Saccharomyces cerevisiae S288C: one gene and its partners. The gene in region 1 interacts genetically with each later gene. Each region holds a gene or a part of one and is shown in the gene's direction. Other genes may lie near its edges.

What was found.
Region 2: mutations in PFS1 (region 1) and YSR3 together harm fitness more than expected from each alone (negative genetic interaction), as found in Saccharomyces cerevisiae (2 studies listed by BioGRID).
Region 3: mutations in PFS1 (region 1) and MAL12 together harm fitness more than expected from each alone (negative genetic interaction), as found in Saccharomyces cerevisiae (2 studies listed by BioGRID).

Annotation. Positions count from the first base shown.
Region 1 is NC_001140.6:474,127-477,182, reverse strand, and holds PFS1 (Pfs1p), read left to right. Parts: upstream 1-1,842; coding exon 1,843-2,556; downstream 2,557-3,056. Other genes in the region: ubiquitin-binding TORC1 subunit KOG1, read left to right, coding at 1-1,184; SSP1 (Ssp1p), read right to left, coding at 2,724-3,056. UniProt on the Saccharomyces cerevisiae protein: Involved in the pathway that organizes the shaping and sizing of the prospore membrane (PSM) during sporulation. Required to localize MPC54 to all four spindle pole bodies, and localize DON1 and SPO14 to four prospore membranes.
Region 2 is NC_001143.9:533,407-537,109, reverse strand, and holds YSR3 (sphinganine kinase YSR3), read left to right. Parts: upstream 1-1,828; coding exon 1,829-3,043; downstream 3,044-3,703. Other genes in the region: DYN1 (dynein heavy chain), read left to right, coding at 1-1,463; MRS4 (Fe(2+) transporter), read left to right, coding at 3,646-3,703. UniProt on the Saccharomyces cerevisiae protein: Dihydrosphingosine 1-phosphate phosphatase required for efficient ceramide synthesis from exogenous sphingoid bases. Involved in endocytosis and calcium-mediated signaling.
Region 3 is NC_001139.9:1,074,545-1,078,304, forward strand, and holds the start of MAL12 (alpha-glucosidase MAL12), read left to right. Parts: upstream 1-2,054; coding exon 2,055-3,760. Other genes in the region: MAL11 (alpha-glucoside permease), read right to left, coding at 1-1,269.

The DNA of each region.
Region 1 (3,056 bases):
AACCTGGCAGTGTTGAGTATAATGCTAGATTGTGGAGACGTAACAGAAATGAAACTATTATCCAGGAAACACAGGGGGAGAAAAAATTATCGATTTATGGGAATTGGTCCAAAAAATTGATTAGTTTAAATAACAAAAGTCAACCAAAACTGATGAAGTTTGCCCAGTTTGAAGATCAGCTGATTACTGCAGATGATAGAAGTACCATTACAGTTTTTGATTGGGAGAAAGGAAAGACTTTGTCCAAATTCTCCAATGGTACTCCTTTTGGCACAAAAGTTACTGACCTGAAACTCATTAACGAGGATGACTCCGCCCTTTTATTGACAGGTTCTTCAGACGGTGTTATCAAAATATACAGAGACTACCAAGATGTCGACACCTTTAAAATTGTATCCGCCTGGAGAGGCTTGACCGATATGTTATTGACACCTAGATCCACAGGTTTACTAACCGAATGGTTACAAATAAGAGGATCATTGTTAACAACTGGTGATGTTAAGGTTATCCGTGTCTGGGATGCGCATACAGAAACGGTTGAAGTGGACATTCCTGCAAAAACATCATCTTTAATTACATCCTTGACGGCTGATCAGCTAGCAGGTAATATCTTCGTAGCAGGGTTTGCAGATGGCTCCCTGAGAGTATATGATCGCCGTCTCGATCCAAGAGATTCCATGATACGTCGCTGGAGAGCTGGAAATGATAAGCAGGGAGTTTGGATTAACAATGTTCATTTACAAAGAGGTGGTTACAGAGAATTGGTCAGTGGAGCTACCAATGGTGTTGTAGAGTTATGGGATATAAGGTCCGAAGATCCGGTAGAATCGTTTGTTGATCAAAACGTAACTTCTCAGTACGGTTCGCAACAAAAACCAACGACAATGACGTGCATGCAGGTTCATGAGCATGCTCCGATAATTGCGACAGGGACTAAACAAATAAAGATATGGACGACATCTGGAGATCTTTTGAATTCTTTTAAAAACTCACATAATAATGGCGTAACAAGTACATTAGCCGCTACGGGAATCCCAAAGTCACTGTCCTACTCTTCCACTTCTGATGCATTTTTATCTTCGATGGCTTTCCATCCTCATAGAATGATGATTGCGGCCACCAATTCTCACGATTCTATTGTAAATATCTACAAGTGTGAAGACGAGAGAATTGATTATTTTTGATATGTGCCATTTCTTTTTTTTTCTTTCATTTAGCTGCAAAAGAGATATATATATATATATATATATAATCTATTATATAATAAAAGTCGAGTAAAAAATTGGTCTGATTGTGAATTTAACAGCTGGTCGCAAGTTCTGGAATTTGTTGTTAATTATTGTTTCATGTTCGTATAATAATACGATGTTTAGTAAAGCAGAAAGTTCAGAATATTAAAAGTCTGTTCCAATAGTGTAGCGGCTATCACGTTGCCTTCACACGGCAAAGGTCCCGAGTTCGATCCTCGGTTGGAACATTTTAACATCGATTTTTTTGTTTGTCATAGCCAGACCAATTACGACGTTTAGAGGCATGCACTTTGTTAAATATTTTTTCTCTCTCCTTCGACATATTTTTTTTCCTGTTTACGTAACATTCATCCCCAGTCTTTGTATCATTTTTTTTTTTTTTTGGTGATGCGACAGCAATTCTGGCCGACACAGTCGTTTTCAAAGAAAAACTACCACAAACTATGGAACATAATTGAAAACAAAAACATTTACTTATAACCTACATAATGATTGAAGATACTTCATTGATCTTTACCACCTTCCTCGTTGAAATCTTTTCTACCATAGTCAGTATTTTTGGGAATTTTATAAAAACGCAAATTTTATCGAAATGAATCAAGGTTACACACAGCTTTCCGCACCGGAACTGAAGGAGACTAAAACATCGAAGCTAAATAAAATGAACAACTTTCGAAGCTCTCCGATTGCTGAGATAATTAATAAGATACCACCAGATTGCGGGAAGATACAGAATACAACATTTCCTGAGTTCAATCCAGCGTTAAGAAGACGACAACACGAACAGTGGCCTGCATACGAAAAACCAATAAGAGTTACTGACAGTATGTCACCACAGCTTTCTTCAATCAATTGTTTGCCAAATTTGTATCCCCACGGTACGCTACCATTACCAAACCCTTATTTATCCTATTTAAATCACATTGAAAAAGTTAATTGCCAAGATGTCAAGTTTAGTAACTGGAGTGTTTTACATAATTCGAATAATGGATTTGAAATTCCGACATATTTCAGTCCACGGACAACACAAAACATGCCTTGTTCCGAAAAAGTTGAAAGCTGGCTTGAAAGATTACCAATTTTTGTGGGGTTCGACGGTTATTTATTTACAAACTGCTTTGATTATGAATATATGTTGGATTGGGAAGAGACAGAATTTACATTCGAGAAAACATCATGTATGGAGACGGATTATTCTAAAGCTTTAACCGATACTGATATTATATATATTCAAGAGAAAAAAATTGAAGCGTTGATAAGAAACCAATATCTGAAGGAGTATGAATTTTCTCAAAAAGATTTTTGAATTTTGAAGAAAGCCATTAATATTTAAATGTAATTTTGTGTAGAATTATAATAAATTGATGTTTATGTATAGATCTCTCGAAATATATTTAAGAATATATAAATAATAAATGTACAACAATAAGCATAGAACATGGAATGAGTGTTCAAACTATATTCGTTTGTTTTTTAGATAGGAGTTCTCCAGACGTTTTCATCCAAGTTTTGTTTTGCATCATTTAAAGCTGCAGCAAGAACTTTGCTTTCTTCACTTGCAGACTCCGGTTTGACTTGAGTTTTTTTAATGGAAAGATTCCTCAAACTAGCGGCATTGACATTTACATTTCTTTTCGTGCTTCTTAAAATCAAGGAATCATTTGATTCGAGATTCTCCTTCTTTATTTCAGGTTGCGATATCGATGGAACTTCTGCAGTTGAAGAGCTGATATTTTTTGCCTCTTTCTCTTCTTTTTCCTGAGCGAGAAGTTCAACTAATTGATCGGGCTCAAGTTCTTTCGCAGA
Region 2 (3,703 bases), on another chromosome or scaffold:
AGTTTTTCCCACAGTTTGATAATCTGGTAGAAGAGTATTCTATTATCGGTAAGCATAGTGTCAAAATATTCTCTATGTTGGAGAAGTTTGGTCAGTTTCATTGGTTTTACGGCATTTCTATAGGACAATTTCTATCATGTTTCAAACGTGTCTTCATTAAGAAATCTAGGGAAACAAGAGCAGCTAGGACACGGGTAGATGAAATTCTTTGGCTATTATATCAAGAAGTATATTGTCAATTCTCCACCGCTCTTGACAAAAAATTTAAAATGATTATGGCTATGACGATGTTTTGTTTGTATAAATTCGACATTGAAAGTGAACAATATAAAGAGGCAGTTCTAACTATGATTGGAGTTCTCTCTGAAAGTAGCGATGGCGTACCAAAACTAACCGTAGATACAAATAATGATTTGCGGTACTTATGGGACTATGTTACAACCAAATCGTATATATCTGCGTTGAACTGGTTCAAAAATGAGTTTTTTGTTGATGAGTGGAATATCGCGGATGTGGTAGCCAATTCCGAGAACAACTATTTTACAATGGCAAGCGAGCGAGATGTTGATGGCACATTCAAATTAATCGAATTGGCGAAAGCCTCGAAGGAATCGTTAAAAATCATCCCGCTAGGGTCTATAGAAAATCTAAACTATGCTCAAGAGGAAATATCAAAATCTAAGATAGAAGGTGGTTGGATATTATTACAAAACATACAAATGTCGCTATCATGGGTGAAAACGTATCTGCACAAGCATGTTGAGGAGACAAAGGCGGCAGAAGAACATGAGAAATTCAAAATGTTCATGACATGCCATTTGACTGGTGATAAACTACCTGCCCCATTGCTACAAAGAACTGATAGATTTGTGTATGAGGATATCCCAGGTATACTAGATACCGTCAAAGATCTATGGGGTTCTCAATTTTTCACTGGTAAAATTTCAGGAGTATGGAGCGTGTATTGTACCTTCCTATTGTCATGGTTTCATGCCTTGATCACTGCCAGGACCCGATTGGTTCCTCATGGGTTTTCCAAGAAGTATTACTTTAATGATTGCGACTTTCAATTTGCCTCAGTGTATTTAGAGAATGTATTAGCCACCAATTCTACCAACAACATTCCTTGGGCACAAGTGCGAGATCACATAGCTACGATCGTATACGGAGGAAAGATCGATGAAGAGAAAGACCTTGAAGTGGTCGCTAAACTTTGTGCGCACGTATTCTGCGGCTCGGACAATTTGCAGATCGTTCCTGGGGTACGAATCCCACAGCCTCTTCTTCAACAAAGTGAAGAAGAGGAACGGGCAAGGCTTACTGCCATACTGTCTAATACGATTGAGCCTGCAGATTCACTCAGTTCATGGCTTCAATTGCCAAGGGAATCTATTTTGAATTACGAACGTCTTCAGGCTAAAGAGGTGGCTAGCTCAACTGAACAACTTCTTCAAGAAATGTAGCCTTTTCAGGTACGCGTGTCTTGCTTGTCCGCGGTTTTCTCAGTGGACGTGCCTATTCTGGGTTCCTCTTGTTTGATGAGACTCTGATATCTACAATCCAAAAAAATCGGTTGTAGGAAGATGGCGTGCTTCTAATTAAAGTAACGTGGGGACTCTTATTTAGATACTTCCTAACTACGAGCACGTACGTCTAGAATTCATGTTATATAACATAATGATTTTTCCTTATTTTCTTAGTTTTTATCAGCCTTGCCTTGGCTTCCTTCTCAACATCTAGTTGAATTGATAACATGACAAAAAGAAGTTAGGCAGTGGTAGTCTTCAAAAAAATATACAAAATAGCAAGCCTGTAAAAGAATTTAATTATGACCATTATTCAGACGGTTACTGAATTGGGTGTTACCGAGGACACCATTAAGGTTCAGATGGCTCCTTCCGGCGGCAAACACCTATTGGCAGATCCCGGTAATCATCCAGCGGAGCATTTTGAGAGCCAGATGTCGTGGCTAAGGTTTCAAACAAGGCAGTATCTAACTAGATTCACAGACAACCAATCAGATTTCGTACATTCTTTACAAAAAAAGCACAGAACGCCTTTTAGAGACGTTTATTTCAAATACACTTCGCTTATGGGTTCCCACATGTTTTATGTTATCGTGCTTCCCATGCCTGTGTGGCTTGGATACCGCGATTTAACACGGGACATGATCTACGTTCTTGGTTATTCAATTTATTTGAGTGGCTACTTAAAGGATTATTGGTGCCTACCAAGGCCAAAATCACCGCCAGTTGACAGAATCACACTAAGTGAATACACTACGAAAGAATATGGTGCACCCAGTTCACATTCTGCTAACGCTACTGCGGTAAGTCTATTATTCTTTTGGAGAATATGTTTATCTGACACACTGGTATGGCCAACAAAGCTTCTTTTACTGAGTCTGGTGATATTTTACTACTTAACCCTGGTTTTTGGTAGAGTTTACTGCGGTATGCATGGTATGCTGGATTTATTTAGCGGCGCCGCAGTTGGAGCTATCTGTTTTTTTATAAGAATCTGGGTGGTGCATGCTTTACGAAATTTCCAGATTGGTGAACATCTCTGGTTTCCCCTTTTGAGTGTAGCATGGGGCTTGTTTATTCTGTTTAACCACGTCAGGCCCATTGATGAATGTCCTTGTTTCGAAGATAGCGTAGCGTTCATTGGCGTAGTCAGTGGGCTGGATTGCAGCGACTGGTTAACCGAAAGATACGGATGGAACCTTGTATGTAGTAGGTACGCATCATGTGGTTCTAAGGTGTTCTTGAGGCCTCTGGTAGGTGTCGCTTCTGTGATTGTTTGGAAAGACGTCATTAGCAAGACAGCTGTCTACACGCTGTTAATTAAACTACTCAGATTTCACGATGATAGAAGCGAAAAGGTTCATTTCCATAACGAGACAAGTGAAGAAGAAGAGTGTTTATTGTACAGCGGTGTTTCCAAAGTGGAAATCGTCGGAAGGTTTCTCATATACGCAGGTATACCTACAACCGTCTTTTTGCTATGCCCAGTTTTTTTCACTTGGACAAACTTAAGGTAGACTCTCGTATGTATGCATTTAGTGACTTATACATATATATTGTATCTACATAACACATCATTGAAATTCACCCCGATGAGTACATATTTGGAATTCAGCATTTTTTTTTTCTCGCTTTTGATAGCCAGCCCATCTATGGTGCTTACTAATGTATAGAGAGGATATAACAATGAAAAATCAAGATTTCAGGCATGAGTCAAGACTTTAGCTCTTTTATATACCTTCAGGATGTTCGTACCATGCGTCGCAGGCCCTAGATCGGCGTTTTGGGTTTTACACATGCATGTTTGCCGTGGTTCACCCTCTTTTAACCCACAGGAATCGCTACTTTGACACCCCCGATCGTGTCTCTTTTCGGTATTTTGGCACCCTTTCTTGAATGAGAGCATGGCGAAGACTGAAAGGCAAGAACACCCTGCTATCTTTTGCCTACCATTGGCGAACGTCATCTTATCTAAGTAGTAAGCTGTATATAAAGATATTTGGAGGTTTTATTGGAATCTCATAGAATTTTCACTTTATCAGAGGTTTATTGACGAAGACTTTCGTGAGAAGTACAAAGTGAAGAAGTAAAAAACTCAACCGAAATATCAGTTAATATTATGAATACTTCAGAACTGTCAATAGCTGAGGAAATCGACTACGAAGCTCTTCCATCAC
Region 3 (3,760 bases), on another chromosome or scaffold:
CCAGGAGCAAAGTGTACCCGCTAACCCAAGACAGTACTGAATTAGAGAAAAAGTAAACGCCTTGTCGGTGGCCATACCTGCTCTTTCAAAAAAATATGTCGAGTAACCAAGTAAAACGGCACCGCTACTATTTTGAGCTACCCAAGTTAAACATGCAAGTCTCGTTCTTCTTCCATTAACTCCCTTGAAACAATTAAAGAATGATCCTGATTTAGATGCTAAAAGTCTTTCTTTTTCAATAGTCAATTCAATCTGCTTTAAAGTAAGATCAACTTGAATGTCCTTCTCGGCGCCTTTACCACTCAAAATTCTGCTTAAAGATTTTCTTGCCTCAGCGACCCTATCCTTTCTCACCAACCACCAGGGCGACTCAGGAGCGAAAAAGATACCGATCATTAAAGGAGCAGGCCAAATCCATTGTAAAGCAAATGGCAATTTATAGCCCAAGTCGGAGTTCCCTAAATTCTCTTGTGAGTTTTTCATAATACCAGAGGCGAAGATTTGACCAAATAACCAACAAATGTTGGAGTAACTGGTCATGTAATATCTTAATGCTAAAGGGCAAACTTCCGAAGCATAAGTAACAGCCAAACTTTGGAAACAACCCCATGGTATAGCTGAGAGAATTTGTCCCACAGCAATCATAGCTAAACTTTTACAGTAGTAGAGGATAAAGATATAAGCAGTTAACAAACCAAGTGCTGTAATCATCGTATAACGATTCCCCATAAATTCAACCATATAAGTCGTGATTTGCAAACCAATCATCTCACCACAAAGGACACACATGTTTAAACCAATCTGCCATTGGGAAGTAATTTCGTAAGAACCCTCCCCGTTCAAAGTACCGAATTTTCTCTGAAAAACTGGCAGGGCATACAGTGCGCTCAGTAGTGCGGTATCATAACCTTCCATAACCAGGGTAGTAGACACTAATATGGACCACAGGGCTGCTTTTGGATATTTTAGCAACGCCTGCTTCAAAGTCATGCTTTTTTCCTCGCTGTTAGCTTCATTTGCATCATCAGTAGCGTTCATCTCATTAATCACATTCTCGTTATCTTCGTCAGAATCTCCTAACTGGGCTGAATTGGTGGTGAACTCTAAGTGGTCTAGCTCAAAGGCACTATCCTTTTTCCCTTCTTCAAAATCTTCAGTATTGAAAACCTCCTGTTGGTTTACAATATCTCTTGAAGACTCAGAAATGTTTTTATCCTCATTTTTTGAGGCAGCCTTCTTCTTGCTTACCAATGAAATGATATTTTTCATATTATACTATTTTTTTAGTTGTTTGATGTTCTTCTATGTAGCATCAGAAAGAAACACCAACCCGAAAATTCTTCAAACAATCAATACCAAACCGCTTTATATAAAAAATTAAGATGTCGACATTCCTTATTTTTTACTGAGTTCGTTAAAGTTGGGTACACTCTTGATTACTGTAATTGTCTCTGTATGTCCCTCAAGCCCGGTACGTTGTCATTTTCTAGTACGCATCAACGGAGTGTTACATGATAGATAGACCGAGTAGAATCTATGGCTATGGGGTAATTAAAACCTTAAAGCTCCTTTCGCTGCCATAGTAATACGAATAGACCTTGGCTATAGTAAGTTGCATCTGTACCGTAGAGATTCTTGCAACTCGCTTAAACTCTCGCTTTTAGATAATATTTCTCCTTATTGCGCGCTTCGTTGAAAATTTCGCTAAACACGGGGTTTAAGTTAAAGTTTACAGGATTTATCCGGAAATTTTCGCGGACCCCACACAATTAAGAATTGGCTCGAAGAGTGATAACGCATACTTTTCTTTTCTTTTTTTAGTTCCTAGCGTACCTAACGTAGGTAACATGATTTGGATCGTGGGATGATACAAACAACGTAAGATGAATAGTTCCTTCCTCAATTCTTCTTGCAGCATCATTTTCTTGAGGCGCTCTGGGCAAGGTATAAAAAGTTCCATTAATACGTCTCTAAAAAATTAAATCATCCATCTCTTAAGCAGTTTTTTTGATAATCTCAAATGTACATCAGTCAAGCGTAACTAAATTACATAAATGACTATTTCTGATCATCCAGAAACAGAACCAAAGTGGTGGAAAGAGGCCACAATCTATCAAATTTACCCAGCAAGTTTTAAAGACTCCAATAACGATGGCTGGGGTGATTTAAAAGGTATCACTTCCAAGTTGCAGTATATTAAAGATCTTGGCGTTGATGCTATTTGGGTTTGTCCGTTTTATGACTCTCCTCAACAAGATATGGGGTATGATATATCCAACTACGAAAAGGTCTGGCCCACATATGGTACCAATGAGGACTGTTTTGAGCTAATTGACAAGACTCATAAGCTGGGTATGAAATTCATCACCGATTTGGTTATCAACCACTGTTCTACAGAACACGAATGGTTCAAAGAGAGCAGATCCTCGAAGACCAATCCGAAGCGTGACTGGTTCTTCTGGAGACCTCCTAAGGGTTATGACGCCGAAGGCAAGCCAATTCCTCCAAACAATTGGAAATCTTTCTTTGGTGGTTCAGCTTGGACTTTTGATGAAACTACAAATGAATTTTACCTCCGTTTGTTTGCGAGTCGTCAAGTTGACTTGAATTGGGAGAATGAAGACTGCAGAAGGGCAATCTTTGAAAGTGCTGTTGGATTTTGGCTGGACCATGGTGTAGATGGTTTTAGAATCGATACCGCTGGTTTGTATTCGAAACGTCCTGGTTTACCAGATTCCCCAATTTTTGACAAAACCTCGAAATTACAACATCCAAATTGGGGGTCTCACAATGGTCCTAGGATTCATGAATATCATCAAGAACTACACAGATTTATGAAAAACAGGGTGAAAGATGGTAGAGAAATAATGACAGTCGGTGAAGTTGCCCATGGAAGTGATAATGCTTTATACACCAGTGCAGCTAGATACGAAGTCAGCGAAGTTTTCTCCTTCACGCACGTTGAAGTTGGTACCTCGCCATTTTTCCGTTATAACATAGTGCCCTTCACCTTGAAACAATGGAAAGAAGCCATTGCATCGAACTTTTTGTTCATTAACGGTACTGATAGTTGGGCTACCACCTACATCGAGAATCACGATCAAGCCCGGTCAATTACGAGATTTGCTGACGATTCGCCAAAGTACCGTAAAATATCTGGTAAGCTGTTAACATTGCTAGAATGTTCATTGACAGGTACGTTGTATGTCTATCAAGGTCAGGAGATAGGCCAGATCAATTTCAAGGAATGGCCTATTGAAAAGTATGAGGACGTTGATGTGAAAAACAACTACGAGATTATCAAAAAAAGTTTTGGTAAAAACTCGAAGGAAATGAAGGATTTTTTTAAAGGAATCGCCCTACTTTCTAGAGATCATTCGAGAACTCCCATGCCATGGACGAAAGATAAGCCCAATGCTGGATTTACTGGCCCAGATGTTAAACCTTGGTTTCTCTTGAATGAATCTTTCGAGCAAGGAATCAATGTTGAGCAGGAATCCAGAGATGATGACTCAGTTCTCAATTTTTGGAAAAGGGCCTTGCAAGCCAGAAAGAAATATAAGGAACTTATGATTTATGGTTACGATTTCCAATTCATTGATTTAGACAGTGACCAGATCTTTAGCTTCACTAAAGAGTACGAAGACAAGACGCTGTTTGCTGCTTTAAATTTCAGTGGCGAAGAAATTGAATTCAGCCTCCCAAGAGAAGGTGCTTCTTTATCTTTTATTCTTGGAAATTATGATGATACTGACGTTTC